4 linked regions of the Drosophila melanogaster genome follow. The protein of the gene in region 3 interacts with the protein of the main gene of each other region in a pairwise test. Each region holds a gene or a part of one and is shown on either strand. Other genes may lie near its edges. The genes, in order: Pura, nuf, CG33095 and Grx3.

Region 1 (4,686 bases), on a different chromosome or scaffold from region 3:
ATCAGCGAAGGAATACATTTACATACATTTCCGAGAACGTTGCTTTTCAATCTAATTGTTTGGACTTTCGACAACTCAAAAAATATACATATAAATAACCAAAGTATTATGCAGATCAATGCCCAATTATTGCGGGCTGCAAGATTGCTTGGTTATGCAAGGAAAATGATTAAAAAATTAAACAAAAACTGGACTATGTTCTATTTTATGTAGTAAAATCCCTGGCATTACTGCTACGTCTTCATTATCATAACTAAATTTTTTATCTTTATGTATTTGTATAGTTAATACTTCTCTTCCCAGTTCATAGAGTATCTTATAGTACAGTATCTTTCACTTCCATTTAGTCAGCATTTCCGACTGGGGACTGAGTTCTGTTTTATGCACAATGTTATTGTTTGCCCCGCTGAATAGCCGCCGCCCGTGTTTCATGCCCATCCCTCTGCCATAATTGTGGATACAATGCATCATATATAGACATCTTCAACTCCTGCCTTGAACTTGGCAAGTTCCCATATTATACATATGTATATACAAAATGAAGGGCTGGCTGTCCACATATATTTTGTTTGCTACTTTGTCGGTGTTTAGCTGAATGCCTTTTGACGGGCATTTGTTTACGATGCCAGACGCAGGCTTACCCTGGAACGCTAACGAGCTCGGGATTCCTTTGGTTCCTGGCTTCGAGATCCCCATGCGATTGCGTTATCCGGAACACGCGATGAGTGTTTACTTCGCTCTGGTTTCACGAAAAAAAAATCTGAGCAGTCGCTGAAACTTCAAGTGGTGCGAATAAACATTTGCCAGCGGGATAAACAATATATGGGCTCCACCGATGGCCCATAAATATAACTATTAAGTGCTCTTCCCGGTGGGTCTGCCATATATTCCACTTGCGAATGCGAACGGGCATTAGAATAAAGTTGCACAGCAAATTGGGTTGTGAGTAAGAGTATCAATATTTCCGCAGTCAATTAAAATCAATTAATTCCTAAGCTTTTTGTGATTCACTAGTTCGTGATTTGATTCCGGGCTTAATGACTACGTATATCATATATCATATGCCCTTTACAAATAGTTTTCTAATTTACGTTAATCATATGCATTATAATATTTTAGAATTTTACAATTAACTTTATGCATGCAATTGCCGCATTTCAGCTATTTGAAAATTCAGTTTCCCTTCAGACCAGTAACATAAAAATAAATCACCCATTTTGCAGTCTATTGGTTTATATCAGTTTGCAGCCTAAATATTAGAAAACTTTTTAATATGCCATGGGCGTTCAGCTTAACCCCTACGTGCTCTGTTTGAGATCCGCATTGTTACAAACACAAAAATTTCGAAATCGCACAAATGCCAGCTACAGATAATTGCCAAAAATCACCGGCAAAGTCAACTCAACTTTCATAAAACGGCATTCAATTTGATTTGCACAATTTGGAGGCCTCTTAGCGGCTCCTCGACTGTCGGTCGGTTTTCACATTTGTGGCATTTTGGCGTTTGTTTGAATTGATAACAGGCTGAAAGTGCCTTTCAAGCTGACAGCCATAATCGCTCAACGCCAACTGTTTGGCGGGCTAAAATAGTTGGGGGGTTGTTGGGGAGTTTTCCCGACTGCCAGGGGATGGAATTATATAGAACCAAGCCTATGTCTCCGCCAGGTCGATGGACACACCCATCCAGGCAGAGCGGGCGGAAAGCGGAAACGGAACAAAGCCTCAGACAGTGGCCAACTTGGGCTCAGACCAATTCAAACCAGCAACTCCGATGGAGAAATTATAGCGAGTCACGCGAGTGCTAAACTTTTCTAACCCTTCTTCAGCAGCCGGCTGTGCCCCGATTCGCAGGAAAACCAGAATTAGCTAAAAATTGCACCGAATGCCCGAAATGATTGTAGTTAATTGAATTTGCAGCCTGGCTGAATAACTTTTAATTGAATTCCAGCTAAAATCTAAAGGTTGTGAGCTGGAGTGATGACCCACTTGGGGATCTAGTGCAGGATGATCTAAGTTGGGTAATAAATACATAACTCTAATTGGATAGTCAGAAAAGGGACAAAAACATGTTCAGGGTTAGTAATTAGGCATACCTTGATAAAATACAAAACTTATTTTGCCGGCCTGTATAATAGAGCACTGACTTTATTGACTCTAGAAAGTGCTAAGTACTAAGGTAATGAAAAAAGTCACTTTTTGCGAATAATATTAATGACTACACAGATGCTTCTATTTATTAAGTTGTTCTTGTAGATTAATGGTACTCCTGTGATCAGTGTCAATTTCATTTTGGCTATGCAACTTCGTTAATATTCTGTTAAAGCTGGCTATTAAAAAAGTAGTAAACAGCTGTTTAGTAATGTCTAAAGCAGCCTTAAAATATTGAAATTCGAATAACACTCGCTCATTGGCTTTCGTAATTGATAAATTGAGCAACTACTTCAAGAGAATACCCTAAATACATAGCTATTCTATTTCCACATTGACTCTATCCAGTCAAGTCTATATATTTATTTGTTCACCAATGATCTCATTTCAAAGCCCATTAAATTCTGTAGCAACTGAGATTAAGTATATCAGTTTAATGGCTTTAGAAGTGGCTAAATGATGTGGTCACGTTGCTACTACCCTATTTCTTTCGGTGTACTCACGTGACACTGCCTTCTGGCCAGTCGGCGCCTAATCCACTTGAACGCCTCCTGGCGACGCCGGACAAAGGACATACTGGAGCGGTGCCACAGATGCAGGACGATGACGAGGACGCGCTGCACCCAGACTCCCAACCGCTCGCTCCACACTTCCCGGCGCAGCTGGAACATTAAGCACAGCACTCAGTCCGATTTTCAACGGAATCAAATACCATAACTTTCGCGAATGGCTAAGCACTGCGATATTCCTGGGCGGATTGGCCAAGACGGCGGGTAGCTAATAGAATTTCACTTTTGTTTTGGGGGCGGTACGCGGTACGGAACCGTTGTTACTTCAGTTGCGTTTGTTGTTTGACTGAGAATGCCGCCGAGTTTGTTTCTCCACCTCGGCAAACTTTGAGTGAGTGTGAGCAGTAGACTCCTCGACTTGAGACTCAAGACTTGAGACAGAGAGAGAGCCCTGCACTTGCGATTGTCACCGCTACTGATACTTATACTGTTTTTTTTTTTATTTTAACGTTTTTTTTTTTTTGTTGCTTTCCGCGTTTTGTTTATACAATTTTCTGGTGCGGACCGTGTGCGTGTGGCTTACTGGGGAACCCAGAAAAATCGTACTACTCGTACATAAATAATGCAATAAGTTGGGGCCCCACCGAATCGAGACAAAAACAGAAGGTGGAAAAATTGAAAAAAAAATCGAAACTGTTTTTGCATTCGCTGCACACATACACACACACCCATCAAACATCACACCTCTTCTGCTGTCCGAACACTCGAATACTTGAATACTCGGCTTTTAACCGAGCTTTGCACTCAATTTGATTGCCGGCAGAAGCGGCTGCAAAATCCACGGTAGTCACATGCGACACATGTGAAACACGCAGGGGAGGCCCATTTTACGGTGAAGGCGAAGGTGTTGCTTTTGTAATCGGCGGCCTAGGCACATTGGTCGCAAAACAACTAAAATGGGTGGTCAAATTTGGTATGTGACTCAGTTCAAAATATACAATATACATATATATCCAAATTAGATTATTAAATGGAATGTACAATTTGGAATAATCAAATATTTTTGAAATTATCTTCCTTGTCAAGTGGCAGTATACGACGTTTCATGTTAATATTTAATATGTTAATGTTAATGTTTAATATTTATTATTTAATTTAGAAATATTAAAACAAAGAAAGATTAACGCCCATGGTAGTGCAAAATTTGTTTTAAAATTAAAAAAAATATTTTATACACTTTTAATCGGGCATTTCTCCATATCATATTACCACTGTACTTGCACTAGTTCGTGTGTGGGCGTTTCTAGGCGATCCCTTGTACCGCGCCCAGTCTTCGAAGTGCAAGCGCCGCTAGGCGACGAAGGCAAACAAGTGTTTTGGGTGTCTGCTATACTCGTAAAATGCGAGGAGGATAAAAGCCCATGGAACGTCTATCGGAAAGCTTTTGGAGCGTAGATTAATGTTACTGGCTGTGGTCGGTCTGCTGGCCGTGTTGCTATTTTGTTATTTACCCGCTCGTTGCCAGTACGGTTATTTATTTATTTATGCTAATGTTGCTGGCAGAGCCGCTGACGCTGCATTTGCATTGTTTAGAATGAGAACAGCGAGAAAACGAGCGCAGCAACAAAAAGGGGGCACAGACAATAACAACAACTATAACAACAACATGTGCAACAGCAACTGCAGCTACAGCGGTAGCAACAAAAACACGACAAGTGGCACTCACGCGACAAAGGCCCATATATAAAGTGTTCTCATGGTTATCTCGTTGCCTGTGCGATACTTTCAAGTGTTTCACATGCAGAGGAAAAATTGATTTTTATCAATATAATAAACAATACACATATTCACATACATAATTCACTCACTGCAAATCATTTTCATTAAATCCAATTCATAGTTTTAAGATTTCACAAATTTGTTTAAGCACCCTAATAATATGTACCAAAAAAAAAATTTCTCACTGTGTGCGGATATTTTGGATACAAGCACATAGAAAGTTCGAAGTTCCCATCGCGTAGAAATTGAT
Region 2 (4,684 bases), on a different chromosome or scaffold from region 3:
TACTTCTTCTTTTTTTTTTAGAACCAACAGACCGTAAAATTATTTTGTTCAGACTTTGAGCAGAATTCTAGACAATTTTACATATCCTCGTCGTACAGCTATTTTCCAACCTCTCCCTATTTTCATTGTTATTTTGTTCCTCAGGTTTTGAATTCCCGCCTAGTTTCTAATTACCAGAAAATGCAATGGCTGGCTAAGTTTGCTTTTCTTTTACTTGGAATTTGTGGCGTGCTGTTTACTTTTGTAGTCTAGTAAACTGAATCATTCTTAGTCTTATCAAATCGTTCGGCGACGTGTATAGTTAAGGTGCCCTTGTCAAAGCTTCATTTTCACGTTATCACATACAAATTTAAATAAAGGTCAATATGAGGGCCAATTAAAAGCAGGGCATGACTGATAAAGATTTTACTTTTTAAAGAACTTTATTTGCTTTGAATGATTCCAAGTTGATTTACGAAATAAGCATTCAAATAAATAAAATACAACTTTATTACAAATGATTTGGAAACCCTTATCAAAATACAATCCAATTCCTTCAATACAAGTACAGTAAGTAACCGAATAATCTGATTTCAATTCAACTAAAACTAATTTGCTAATGAAGTAAACTTTCCTTTCTTGTCAGCTGAATATTTTTGGATTATCATATCTCTTCAACCATTTTTTCCTCGCCCATGTCAGGCAATCAAAAACAGCATAATAGAAAATTATCATTAGCTACTCTTCAGCAAAATTGAATTCCACAAAGATTTGCATACAATGGTCGACGAAGGAAGGGGTGAAAATGGGGATGAGTCGAACGAGGGGAGCTCATTAAATGCAAATTTTACTTCGCTGCTGTGCACTTTTCATGCAACAAAGTGAAGTGAACAAGTTACAACAAAAAGGTTGTAAAATATACAATGATTAGCCGAAATTGGATCAGGAATGCTGAGTACCACATAAAATATTCATGATTTCAAACAAATGTATATTTAAAGACTTTGCATCAATTATATGGGAATCATATACATAAGAACTTGAAAAAAAATTGTCATTGATTATTTTTAATGTACTATTATGTATTCTATAACTTTCTTGAAAGCTTTTGCTTAAAAGAACCAAAAACTAATGATGCAATCCTTTAAAATATTTTTAATTTTCCTGCCGATTTTATGATCTTCAATAATCTGTGCCGCGATCTCACAAATATTTTTCAATTTTAAAAGTGAATAGCTAATTTTTTCGATTATTTAAAATGGTGTATTATGTATTTTATTACAACCACAATCGAGGGAGAAAAACAAATTTCGATTAAAGCACGCGAAACGCGAAAAGCAAACTGAATGAACCAGAAATTCAGGGGCAAAATAAACCGAGGCAGTCGCCAGCGATAGAGAGAAAAATGAGAGACTGGGAGAGCGAATTTGGGGAGGCGCAATCTTTATAAATAGGAAAAAATAATAATCAACAAACAAGAGCAATGACAAGGGACCGAAGAAAGAGAGCGATCCGATCCCCCAAAGGAAAAGTTTTTCGCCATATGTCCGAGGGTGATTCTCTCGCCGAATCCGCCCGCCTCCTTTATTTTGAACATATGGTTTTTGAGTCAGGGACAGCGCATAATTATGTGGAATTTATATACGGTCACCCCAAGCCAACCGCTCCCAAAATGCCTCCCATCATATGTTCATATATGCATACATACGTATGTATGTATATGTTTTACTCATTACTAAATAAAAGCGCAAGTGAATAAGCGTGGACACGAACCGAAAAGCAAGAGTAACGGGACGCATGCGGGATTGGATGGTAATCTCCATCCATTTCGTCCCATCTCTTTCGTACACCCCCTTTTTGTTGATGTCATCAGAGGGTCTTTTCCGTTCTTTTGTTATTGCGGCTACCTTAGGCCTTTTACTTATTGGTTTTTAGTGCTAGTTTTCAGTTCCGGTTAGTTGTCTTCTGTGCTGTTAGGGCACTGTGCCGTTAGATTTATATGCCTACTAATTGACGAACCATCGCTAATGAAAGAATATTTTCCTACCAAACTTAACGGTACGGAAAATGCCTAGTAAAAGAAATTAAGAAGTACGAGTTATGTATAATGAATGAACTTGGAACTGCTATGCGTTATTCTCGGTGGAAGCCCTTGATTTATTTAATTCCCTTTGAATGTAGAAACTGCCGAAAGCAATGAAAACAAGACTTGATTTTTAAAGAGGCAATATTATTTTTTTTTTTTCATCTTCCTAAGTTTACTAAACTTTTTAAGAAAATACTTAAACTTGTCTCCATTAATAATAAAAAAAATCAACACAAAAAGCACAATTAATTTACATTGTGCCGGTTTTGCAAATTTGATCACCTTATCTTTCTTCGTTTTACTTCATCAATTACCGTCAGTGTTTTTTCAACTTTTAACGCCCCATAACGAAGAATTGCTTTGAATTGTTTAAAGCTATTTTATTTTTTCTTTCATTTTGTCCCATTTATTGTATCATTTATCAATTTTATGCCACACTTGATTTCCATTTTTTATGTTTCGATAAAACACTTGGCAAACTGATTCAACCGCACTTTTCAATTTAAGATCAATCAACCAATATATTTGCCAGAGGGTATGAAAATTAGAAACATGAGCCGAACAAGGCTACTTTGATTACGGGTTTTCACAACAGACCCTGTCATTAACGAATTTGTTTTGATTTCACATTTTTCCTTAAATAAGCGGTTAATGAGCCAAAGGCACCTGACACAGCTGATAAGCGAATTCGATCGATAATAGGTAACACACAAAAAACACACGAATTGAGGTAACTTTGGGTTAATTTTCTCGAATTTCGAACCTTTTTTAATTTGGCTATTTTGCTTAGGAGAGCAGCAGCAGCAGCTGCATTTTCCTTTTCCTTGGCAATTGCATTGCCCAACAACAAAACACCCGCGCGAGAGAGCGCGAGAGAGTGAGAGACAGGGCGACCGTTCGATGCGCTGCTCCGCTTTTCTAGTGTTGTGAACGCGGCAAGCGTTAAATGCAATCTGAGAGAGGAAAGCGCTGAAAAGCCAGCGCCAAGTCGCGGCCCCTCCTCTGCCGCTGCCTCGGTCGACGTCGGCAGAAGCCGCGACTTGTTTTGGGTGCCCGAAAAAATAACGAAAAGAAATACAAAAAAACAGAGCCCCAAAGCAAAACGAACGCAATAGAAAAATTCCACTAATGTGACTTAGCAGTGTTGGAAATTCGTATTACATGCACTTGAGAAAAGAAAATTTTGTTTGCTGAGTGGCTTATATGCACATACACATATACACATTGTATAACATAGTTAGCCAGGTGTTTTTAGGTTTGAAAAGAAATACTAACTTCCAAATATAATATTTGTTTAAACAAAACTTATATTGCAGAATATATTTAAAAAATAATGGATTCAATTTGAGTTTTTGAATGTATTTAGTAAAGTGCACTTTACCAAACATATACATATGTATTACTGGTGGTTAATTCTTTTTTTTCATCAGTGTATGTGACTTAATAGACATTTGCAAAGTGCATTCGGGTAAAGTGGATAGAATGGCTTGAGGGAAAGGTGATGGGAGACAGAATGAGAATCGAGTGGAAAGAATCAAAAGCGACATATGTGAGCAACTCTTGAACTAAATTGAGTCAATTAAAAGTAATGGAAAGAAAAATCAAAGGAAAATGAGTCAGGGAACTGGGCTGTTCAGGGTGCACCGGATTATTCAACGAATTGGTCTGAAATGCGTAACATATGAGAGCGATGTAAATAGTTGAACCGACAAAATACATTTTTTTGCACCCCCTTTTATTTTGCAAAGTTTTCTTGAAAAGTATAATTTCAGTGTAATAGTGTAAATGTGTGATTGACAGCACTATTATGTATTGACACCCTTCAGAGGGCTCCGCAGTCTTCGATAATTACTTTCTTGCTGGTCTTCCCATCTTGTGAACCGTAAGATTCTACCTTCTGGACGATATCCATTCCCTCAACGACCTTGCCGAACACGACATGCTTATTATCCAGCCATGTGGTTTTCCCGGTGCAAATGAAAAACTGAGATCCATTGGTATTGGCCCCAGCATTGGCCATCGAAAGTACACCAGCTCCGGTATGCTTTAGCTCGAAATTCTCATCGGGAAACTTGTTTCCATAAATGGAGCGTCCTCCAGTTCCGTTTTGATTAGTGAAATCACCGCCCTGACACATGAAATTCGGGATGACGCGGTGGAATGGTGATCCCTTGTAGCCGTACCCCTTCTCTCCGGTGCAGAGGGCCCGGAAATTCTCCGCCGTCTTGGGCACCACATCCGAACGTAGTTCCATCACAATTCTACCTAACTTCTCACCTCCTGCGGCTATATCGAAGTAAACGCGTGGCAACGACATCTTCGCAGATGCCGAAAATTTTCGGAGAAAAGCCAGATCTATTAGGTTTAAAATCGAACGATGCCTTGTTCAAAAACAAGAAATATATTTACCGGATAACTTGGTGGTGTCAGCTTTATGATAAAAAAAAGTAACGACTTTCAAGAGAACCGTACAGTAGAACAGCTGGAACTGAACTGACGAATATTCTGGGCTAGTCAGGGATCTGAAGTAAGGGCTCGTTGAAATTCATTTCACAGCCTTCTTTATAAAATCCAGTAGCAAAAAAAAATGCCTGCTTTGGCTTCCACAATTTTTAATAC
Region 3 (6,967 bases):
TATGTATTATTATCTTTATGAACGGCAGCACACTCTCCGTGGAAACTTCCAAATAAAATTATACTATACGCCACAAGCACTCTTATCCAAAGCATTTTTTTTTTTTGTATGAAGTGAACAAATGTTTTCACAAGAGACTATCAACAACTGTCTTTAATCCGCTTTGCATTCGGACTTTATATGGATTCCAGATTACATAAATACACTCTGAATTGCTCGGATTATGTCAACGAATCCCAACTATGGGCCTTATCCAAAGCGAGCTTAATTTGCTTGTTTTTCGGTGAAAGTCAAATCGAATGCAATTAATAGAGGCTTGATTTGCGTGGGTTGTCAAATTAATACGTTCATAAAACCAACCAATTGTATAAAAGTTTCTCTGAAAGAGTATGAATATAAACAAAAAGCAGTGAAAGCGTAATATTTTCTCAACTTTAAGAGTTTAAAAACCATTGTACATTTGGGAACTTTTCAAACCCCCCACACAACAGGCGGCCAATGAATAACAACTAGATGCGTTACTTAGCTCTTTATAAAGATTTTATTACTATAAAATGTATTACAACAAATATGTAAAATGACAATAAAATGAGGAGAAAATACACTATTACACACATATATATGCTTTGCGAATGTAGTTAAGCCTAAAACTTAGCCCCATATTGTTGGCAGGGCATTATAGTGTTACTTAATATAAATGCAAAATCACTGTAAAAATTTCAAACTTAAGGTACTACTAAAATTATTATTTATTACTTGTTTATTATTCATATTTAGATTCGATTGATATATAAGACATATATGTATGTATGTTTTTTGTGGTTTTATATTTTGTATATTTTCATGACCTATGAATGAGCTATGCAGAGACACTTTAATATCGGCTTTCGGTTTTCGGCTTCCTAGCAAATGGTTTTAACAGGTGGTTTCTAAAAGTGGATCAGGCTTATAAGTACTCGTAAAGGGGTTTACATTATTAACAATTGTGGAATCTTTGGGGCCTCGTTGTAGGGATATAAAGTCTTCAAGGTGGCTTGTACTCTGCACTGCGGCATCCCTACTCACATGAAATTTGTCCATCTTGTGAGGGGCAACCAGGTGAGCCTCGCCCACGCCATCAGATGTCGGAATTTTGCTAACGTTACGATCGCTGAGGGATAATGAGATGTTTTTCTCCAAAGGCGGTTCACGGATCTGCTCGGACAGTCGACGGATGTTCAGGGGTAGTTCATCCTTCGATTGAGTGGGAATCGATAGGGAGCTGTGTCTAGAATGCAGCTTTTCTACTTGAAGCAATAATCTTGCTTGAACATTCGGACACAGCAAATTACTATTGTTTTGTTGTACAGATTTTCTAACATGGTTCGGCAATGGACTGGATATCTCCTTCACCTTGTCCGGTAAAAAACTAGCTGACTTGCTTTGAATGTTGGCTTTCAGATCGTTAGAAGGCTGGTCGAGAGACCAGATTTTATGCGACGTGTTGCGATATTGCGGAGAGAATGGAGCAAAAAGCAATCCTGGCTCATTTAAAAATACTTGATCATCGTCCAGCTCCGTTTTCGAATGCTTCAACTGCGGCTTTGCACACTTTGATTTCTCAGTTCTGGTCGAAATTAGTTTATTGTTTATGGAAGAAAGGGATTTTTCGCGGTAGAAATTTTTCTTGGGAAGCCGTGAGATTTCCACAGCAGCATCTGTTTGTCTCTTGACCCACGGATCGATATTGTGATGCATGGTGTTTGAATACTTTTCCGTTTTGGGGGACAAGCTGTTCTTAATATGCGAGTTCTTTATCCATGGATCCGAAGGATACACCAAACAGCCCGTACTCCTATTGTTCGTATCGTAGAGAAAGTTAGCTTTGTCTAGCTCCAAGTTGTTTGGGGAAGTTTGCTCCGATTTGCTAATCTTATGGGTAAGCTGTCGATAAAATTGATTGTCTGAATTACTGGAGAGCTGCCTTGCTGTTTGGGTACCTAATCGCGAAGACTTCGTGTTCTCACTGTCGTCGGAAATTATGATGGCCTGTTGAAACCCACTCTTGTGTAACGTCAGTCTCGGAGACAGCGATTTTTGCTCCTTTCCAATTACACTTTTCAATTGCAAACAACCCTCGGTTGAATTATCTAATGCGTTTTTTTCCGACGCTGAAGAGAGTTTCGGGTCTTTTAATTTACTAATGGTAGATTTGTTACCAGTATCTGAGCTCAGTTTAATTTTGATTTCTTCGTTTGCTTCCGCTTCTGAGCCATTCGATTTTTGGGCCTTCTCGCAGTTGCATATTAGAGTTGATGAAATGGATAAGACGTTTTGACTGTCCTTTAGAGATCGGTTAGATGCCACTCTTTTTATACTTTCAGTGTCGATTTGTTGGGACACTTTGTTATTTAGATATCGACCGGAAAGTTGGGTATGCTGGCTATTTATATGTATATTAGCATTCATTGGTGAATGTGGAGAAAGTACTGGAAGTGTTGGAGCAATATTTGGTTGTTTTAAACGAGAAACAAAGAAGCCGTTCGACTTCATATCGGTTAATGGTGGGTCATCTTTCCTATTTTGTTTACTATGTCTGTTTCCGCACGATTTACTTGATAGTTCCCTGCTTGGGAACTGTGGTGAGAAGGGTTGGGCTTTTGAATATGAGCCCGACTGTTTTTGCTAAAGAAACTTCTGCTCGAGAGCTTTAGTAGAACTCTGGCTGGAATTTGAGGCACCTGCAAGAAGAGCGAACACACACACATTAGACATTAGCTGATCACAAATTAGAGAGAAAGTTACAAATCATAAATGGTAAGAAGATATTCACTGTTTTTCCTAAAAGCGTAGAAGCCAAACAATAAAGTGGTTGCAAGTAGAAAACAGTTCACTTTCAAAGTATCAAAAAATTACTTTATTCAAACTTCTTGTCCTTAAATATTAAAACCATATTACTGTAGCATATTGCTAACAGATCGTTTTAGAACTTAATGCGGTTATTGTTTGATTTTTCTACCAATATGGTTAAGTATAAGATGATATGACCTATGCTTATTCAATTAATACGGGGACCAGGATCACAATGCTGTAAGAATGGGGATCTTGGTGCAAGTCTCCTGACAACTAGTTAATTATAATCTTTTAAAAAATGCAATTCTCGAATGTATTGATGCGGCTGAATAAATAATTACATTGCAATACTTATAGTTAATTACAAACCATCGTTTTCAATCCGTTTGACATTTGTGTCCACATTCTTTTTACTTGTTTCGCTTCCTGCCGCAGGGGCAGGATTCGGGTGCTTTGAACTTAGGGACGCACTACCGGCGGCAGGGTTTGAATTAGATATTACGCCCGATGTAGTGTCGCTAACGCCTCCGTCCACATTATTCTTTAATTGTCATTTGACGAGTTCCACCGAAAGAAATTTGCGCAGTCGCTCGTAATAATGCGGATGCAGTTCCACATCATTATGTCCAGCACCCTGAAATCAAAGTTTCTCATGAGTTTGCAAATTAGGCTAAGTTTTAAGTCATATCATTAAATAAATAAATAAGAATCGATACGATGAGATCACATTGCTGAGAAAGATTGATTGAATTGCCAATTTTAATGTTTATGAAAAGCTGTGAACTTGATACGAGACACTTAATCGATTTCAGGGAAAACGCTAGACTATTAGAATGAATAATAACAATAATTATTCCGGTTAAAATGCTGCTTAATAAGTGCATAACCTGCTCTAGGCGGGTAATCAATCAAGAGTAATTACCTCCACCCAAAACGGCTCGACAGTCTTAGGACACCGCTCGTAGATTCCGATGCCATGGGAAAAGTCAATGACCTCATCATCGGTGCCGTGGATAACCAGAACCGGAGCCTTCACCTTAGCCACCTTATCAATGCTGCGTGGAAATCCGATAACATTAGAATTGGCTATGAACGCAATTCAACGAATTATCTCACCTGGGAAAGGCGTCGAAGAACCAGGTTCTCTTTGTGTTCCTAAAGACGACCCTTAGGCCGGACATCAGCGGCGAATGGAGTATCACAGCGCCGACCTCGTGACGCGAGGCCAGGTCCACAGTGGGCACAGTGCCAATGCTTTGGCCATACAAGATGATTGTCTCCGGGCTGATGTTGAATCTGGTTTGAGGGTGCATAACGAGTTAGCAAAGCGGAATCAATGGGGTGAACTAGAAGAGCTTACCTGGTTCTCATCGCCTGCCAGGCAGCCTCGATGTCCGCATACAGATTCTTCTCGGACGGCTTGCCGCCACTCATTCCGTACCCGGAGTAGTCGTACCCAAAGATATTGCAGTTGATCTGGGAGCCCAGGGTCAGGTAGAAGCTGCTCATTTGGCCCAAATCCACTGCATTCCCGTGGGAGAAGAGAAGTGTGTACTTGGCATTCTTGCTGCACCTGACATAGATGCAGGTGATCAGGTTGCCACGCGAGGTGCGCGTAAAGAAGGCCTCCACTTTCGATTTCTCACGTTCAGAGTACTGCCACTCGGCGCGGTCGAACAACTGCAGGTTGTACCGGATGTTGGTGTCGTCCGCCGGGGTCAATTTGTACGTGGGCTCCGGCGGCTGGAAGGCCAACTTGGCCGCAATGGGACCCGGACACGGGGGGCAGCAAAACATGCAACAGAGCTCGCTGATACTGAACATGCTCGCTCCGTGCCTTGAATGTCTCTACGGAATGCTAACGATTTCGATTTCTCGCCTCAAATGCACGATTACCATCAACAAAGGACTAACGGAGTTTTTGGGTTCAGACTTCGGGTTCGGGCCAATTCGCGTCTATATCATCTATACGTGGACGAGCAAGATGTCAGTGGGCTAGGCGACGGGGGTGACGAGACAAACATAACATTTCGGGCTCAGTTCGCACACAGAATTCAACATAATCGAACGGTTAATGGGTAAATTGTCTTACTGAAATTTGGTACACTCACATTTACAAAATGGCAATGTAGATAGGCAAACAACCACAAAGAAGTAAGGTGGCTAAAACGCCCTAAAAAACAACGGCGCTTTTGGTATTTTTAGTGTGACCGCCTGGGCAGCGAGTACAAAACACCAGCGAATCGAATCTCTATTTTCCCCAGAACGAACTGGAATCGGAACGAGGGATATATTTATTCATTCATATTCATTTGCCTTGTTAGGCAAATACATTTCAATAATGATGATTTAAAACCTGTCATGAAATGTGTGCCTGCAAATCTGCAAATAGTTTTTAAAAACTCTCACAAAGCGTGTTCAAAAATGCAGACCACCTTAGAGGAATATTTTAAAGTAAATTTGGGGAAAATTTTATATAAAAAGTATCCACAGTTTTTGAGATGTGTCCAGCTATGAAGTAGCCCATATATATAAGAGCCCTTAAATATTTTGTGCATGTAAATCGGATTTGTTTCAATATTATCTGCTTCAATACTTTATAAAGTTATGTCATACATAACTCTTCACGTTTATGTACATAACGAATGTTTGTATGCACATTTTTCAAATTTGGTACATAATACGTAGTCCTACAACTAATTGGTTGTACCAAACCAAAATTGTTTCCTACTTTTATAGTTTCTATGGAGAAAGGATTTCACCCGGGCTCATTTGAAGAATCCTAGTTTGGTAATAAACATATTTAGAGAATGCTATTCCATAAGACCAATGCGCATAAAACAACCTGATCTTATCCCATGCATAAAACAACCTGATATTATCCCATGACTTTAAGGATGTTAAGTAATAATGTGTATTGTATTAATATTGGCCAATAGACTTATGTTTTGAATATTACAGTTTCATCTGGAAGATCAAAATAATAACCTGAGATCAAAAACACTTAAGTTTACAGGACTTTCCCTAGATAAAAGCAACTTTCAACCATTTTTTCGTTAAAATATTTTCTGTAGATCATTGAATTTATGTAGTAAAGTATTTCAAAATTCGGCTTCCAAGTCTGTGCCACCTTTCTTGTAAGACATAACAAACTACATTCCGCGCCGTATCGACCGACGACCCCGCTCCCCCTTCTTTCCAATGGGTGTTTTATAATGTATGTGGAAGTGGATGTGGATATGGATATGGATGGTAGCGAAGGCGAGGTGTTCCGACTAGGGTTGAAGTCAAACATATGTAAGGATGATTGACAGCTAATGGAAACAAAAGCAATTCGAATACGTGTGTGTGCATGTGTGAGATGCAAATGATTTGCAAAACAAGGTAGGAAGGCAAGTTAACCATTGCGGACCTATTTTCGACCTGTAATCGAATTAATCGGCGTCTATTTATATATTTACAACCTGTAGTTTGTTTTCGAGCTGCAATTATCTAAGGAACCAAATAGATTGGATGTTAGTTATGTACATAAGTATATTCCCTGTGGCAATAGGAATTGCAAATAATACACAGTTTAAACTTCACGACGGAGATAATAATTATGGGTTTTACACATTATTCTAATGGTAAACTAAAATAAAAAAATAAAGTATCGGGTGCTACAGCTAGACTTCACAGACCTACATAGTTGTATAGTTTAAACAAACATTTAATACAATTATAGGCAGTTCTTTATTGACTTTAGAGATCTTCTAAACTCAACTGTTTACAATACGGCTTCGTTTAAATAAGATGAGTACACAAGTAAATAACATAAGATTACAATAATAGGACCACTAGTGAGTATGTTTTAGACATAGCTTGGTTTAACTCTAGTTTAACTATAACTTTCATAATCAAAAGACGGGCAACGGGCCGTTATGAAAAAGCGGCGGTGTTTTCTGGTAGCAAGGTATGTTGCCATATTGGCCGTTGTAGAAAAAACTTGGGAAGTATAACTGATACTGCGCGGCGAGTTCGTTGAAATTGAATGGCAAATTAAACGGCGGCTTTTCCAACGCGACGGCATCGGGACTGCCGTACTCCATGGGCACTAATCCCTCATTTGGCGTGCTCGCCGGATCCGGAGCCATGA
Region 4 (3,516 bases), on a different chromosome or scaffold from region 3:
ATGACGGTGGCCTGCTCGAAAAGGCCCATTGCAGTCTTCACTTTGTTCTAAACGTTGTGGTAAACGTTCAATGCTGGTTTTTATTACATATATATGAAGATCTTCAATATTACACACCTGAAATTCGCTGCCATTGAAGGGCAGTTCGGTAACTTCTAGCTCGTCGAATATGTTCCAGCCCTTTAGAAAGATGTCCGTCAGCTTTTGGTCCTCTCCGCCAGCGGTATTACCCTCAGCCATTTAAAGATTTGGATATAAGTTTATAGTTAATGGGTATTTTCAATAATATAAATAATATTGCGAAAATAATGTGCAAGATGCCGACGCCGAAACAGCTGTTTACAAAATGAAGGTACGCAAAATACCAGATAAACCAGGGCTGGTGTATAAAAAAGTTCTTACAAATTTCTAGCTATATTTATGTCGTTAAGTTTGTAAACATTTATGGTGACACCATTGAAGCCCGTGTAAGATGTCTTATGGATGACCTATAGCACATTTGCTTTAATACAATTGTTATTAAAAATTTCGATGAATAAAATAATACCAGAATGTAGCAAAAATCCTTTATTAAACCATTAAAAAGTCTAAGGATCTAGCTAAAAATTTGTTTCTGGTTTATGGTGTCTGTAGGAGTAGATGCAATCCGATGGAATTAGCCCTTTAGCGTGGACTCGAGCTCATTGTTCGCCAGCAGTTCCTTAATAATATCGAGTCCGCCGATAAGTTCACCCTTGACGTAAACCTGGGGATATGTGGGCCAGTCGGAGTAGGTTTTCAGGCCTTGACGCACTTCTTCGTCGCCGAGGATGTCAAATGTCTCGTACGGCAAGCTATCGAAGGATATTTTCGTTTATAACTTGAAATCAAATACAACTGATGATCAATTTGCATACTTGGTTTCGTTCACAATGCCGATGAGCTGCTTGGAGAATCCGCAACGCGGTCCATTTCGGTCGCCCTTCATGAATATCATCAGCGGAGCTGTATTGATTAGGGCCTTTAGGCGTTCCTCCAACGTTTGTCCTGTTGCCGCCGCGCTGCTTGCGTTTTCGGCCAACTTTTTGGATTTGGCGCTTATGGCGGCGATGTCTACACCATCGACACGGTCAACGGCGGAGCCCTTGGCGAAGAATATGACTGTGGGCACGGCCTCGATCTGGTGGCATCGCAAATGAATGAGGAACTACTGTTATATTTTCATAAAATAAATACGAGCGTACCTGATGTTTCATGGAAATCTCGGGAAATTGTTCAGCGTTTAGGCTGATGAACTGCAGTTTTTCGCCAGTAATCTTGGCCAGCTCCTCCAGCGCGTCTTTCACCTGACCGCATTGCTCTGCCCATTCGGCGGCGAATAGAGCTACGGTCGTCTTATCCGCATTAATGTACTTCTGGTACTCCTCGGCAGCCGACACGTTCACCACGGGCATGATTTCTTTGAATTATTTAACTAAATTTGCTGGACAAGCAAAATTTACAAAAAGCAGACCGAATTATCAGCTGTGGAAGAGAGTTGCCACTTTCCGTAAAGAAGTCAGCGCTGGTAGCTATAAAATAACAACCTATAAATGGCTAAAAATATATAAAATTGTATTAAAATGTATAAAGCAAGCGTTTCATGAAGTATCAAAACTAGCAATTTAAATATTCTTTTTATTATTCTTTTTTTCTTTATTTTATTCTTTGAAAATTATTTCATTAGCTTGAGTTTTTGTTGTCATTTTCAGTACAGCTCATGCATTTAGAGCTGTTGGACGAAATTTGGAGAAAATGTCGTTTCAACATCTGGCAACATCGAACGGCAACACGTGCGGTCGTGCCGTACCGTATTCAATATACACAGCTCACTTATTTTTCGCAACTAAAAGTTGAATTAGCCGGATAATGGTGACGCGCAAGAAGCCAGTTAAGCGCAACGCCGAGGCGGCCGAAATCCAGGTCGAGCAGGAGGAGGACGCTTCACAGCCGAAGGTGGCCAAGGAGCTGATGGTGGTCGCCCAGGAGGTGAAAATTATACGTGCTCTTGCCTGCAACGATGTGGTGGAGCGTAATCGCCAGATCCGCATTTTGCGCAAGTGGTTCAAGGCGCGTGCCGGTAGCTCCTTTCCCTTCAACGAGGACGACTTCATGCGCATCTGGAAGGGATTGTACTACACCATGTGGATGTCGGATAAGCCGCTGGTGCAGGAGGAGCTGGCCGAGAAGTTGGCTCAAATGGTGGACAGCTTCGGCGGTAATACGGCCTGCAGTCTGGCCTACTTTAGTGCGTTTATGCGCACAATGTGCCAGGAGTACTTTGGCATAGATCAGTGGCGCATGGACAAATTCCTGATGCTCACCCGCCGCATGGTGCGTTATCTACTGAGATTCCTCAAACAGAACAACTGGAATGCGGACCTGATAGCCGCATTCAACAGCAGCATGCAGCTTTCTGTGATGTCGGAGCAGCCTAAGTCTCGCGGCATGACCATGCACTACCTAGATGTTTTCTTTGAGGAGCTGGCCAAGGCGGCCAATGGTGAGATCACTGCTGCTCAGGTTAATATGTTCTTGCGTCCGTTTGTCACCTACATTGCTACACAACGCGATGCTAAGCTAGTGGCACAGTGCCGCACAAGGGTACTCTATCATCTGATGTACCAGAGCGACTTAGGACGACAGTACAGCGAAAAGTACAATGCCTGGAAGCAGATGGGTTTCCCCACCGCCTCCATTGATGACATTGAGAAACTAGATTCTGGATTTGACGAGGAGGATGACGAGGTCAACGCCGAGGAGGAGCAGCCGCGGGCCACATCCTTGGATCCCCGAGCGGGCAACGTGGACGTTCACATGCCGGAGCTGCCGCTCAACGCTGATTGCGTACTAGATGAGCTGCAGACGCAGCTACGCACCAACGATTTTAACAGCAAGAGACGCAAGGGATTGCGCAAACTTATCCAGATCTTTGAGACTTACCAGAGAGGAGAGTTTCCACTTGGCGTGAGGACAATGCCAAAGGTGGAGGGACAAACTCTGTCCGAAATGGTGGAGCAAAAAGTGGCTGCCTTAGATAAGATGGAGGACGAGGTCTTTGCAACCGGAAGAAAACTGAAGAAGCTCAACAAATCCAAACGCAAACGCCTACTGCAGTCCATTAACTTTGAGGAGGTGGACGAGCACAACTACGATGAGGTTATTAGCAAGGCTCTGCCTCCTGAGCTGCAGAAGAAGGTGAATTACAATGCAAAGGTGCGTTCTAGCATAAACAACGCATGGGTAGTAGAGGAGGTCAAGGAGGCCGAGCCCAAGTCGAAGAAAGCAAAAAAGGAAGAACCGCCACAGCAGAACAAAGATGACCAGACGAAGGTGAAGAAGAAAAGCCAGCTTAAGCCGAAGAATGACCAGTCCAAGCCCAAGATAGAGGATCAACCGACCTTGAAGGCAGAAAAAGAAGAGCCTGCGAAGCGCAAGAAATTGGACCACTCCAAGACGAAGGAGGAGCAGTCGAAGCCGAAGACAGACGAGCAGCCC

Evidence for each region.
Region 1: the proteins of CG33095 (region 3) and Pura interact in a two-hybrid assay, tested with the Drosophila melanogaster proteins (one large-scale study listed by BioGRID).
Region 2: the proteins of CG33095 (region 3) and nuf interact in a two-hybrid assay, tested with the Drosophila melanogaster proteins (one large-scale study listed by BioGRID).
Region 4: the proteins of CG33095 (region 3) and Grx3 interact in a two-hybrid assay, tested with the Drosophila melanogaster proteins (one large-scale study listed by BioGRID).

The regions. Positions count from the first base shown.
Region 1 is NT_037436.4:7,591,411-7,596,096, reverse strand, and holds the start of Pura (Puratrophin-1-like), read right to left. Parts: upstream 3,007-4,686; 5' UTR 2,820-3,006; coding exon 2,652-2,819; intron 1-2,651.
Region 2 is NT_037436.4:14,218,081-14,222,764, reverse strand, and holds the start of nuf (nuclear fallout), read right to left. Parts: upstream 3,024-4,684; 5' UTR 2,829-3,023; intron 1,326-2,828; exon of another isoform or gene 1,265-1,325; intron 1-1,264. Other genes in the region: CG7768 (uncharacterized protein), read right to left, coding at 3,888-4,382.
Region 3 is NT_033777.3:25,095,695-25,102,661, reverse strand, and holds CG33095 (uncharacterized protein), read right to left. Parts: upstream 4,991-6,967; 5' UTR 4,944-4,990; exon of another isoform or gene 4,828-4,943; 5' UTR 4,657-4,827; coding exon of another isoform or gene 4,193-4,656; intron 4,129-4,192; coding exon of another isoform or gene 3,949-4,128; intron 3,888-3,948; coding exon of another isoform or gene 3,755-3,887; intron 3,467-3,754; coding exon of another isoform or gene 3,194-3,466; exon of another isoform or gene 2,877-3,193; intron 2,721-2,876; 5' UTR 2,533-2,720; coding exon 916-2,532; 3' UTR 516-915; downstream 1-515. Other genes in the region: CG45095 (uncharacterized protein), read right to left, coding at 1-95; CG33096 (uncharacterized protein), read right to left, coding at 3,383-3,466, 3,755-3,887, 3,949-4,128, 4,193-4,656; fd96Cb (forkhead domain 96Cb), read right to left, coding at 6,729-6,967.
Region 4 is NT_033779.5:13,364,448-13,367,963, reverse strand, and holds Grx3 (glutaredoxin 3), read right to left. Parts: upstream 1,518-3,516; 5' UTR 1,434-1,517; coding exon 1,224-1,433; intron 1,160-1,223; coding exon 897-1,159; intron 834-896; coding exon 656-833; 3' UTR 554-655; downstream 1-553. Other genes in the region: Tap42 (Two A-associated protein of 42kDa), read right to left, coding at 1-47, 118-240; Nnp-1, read left to right, coding at 1,888-3,516.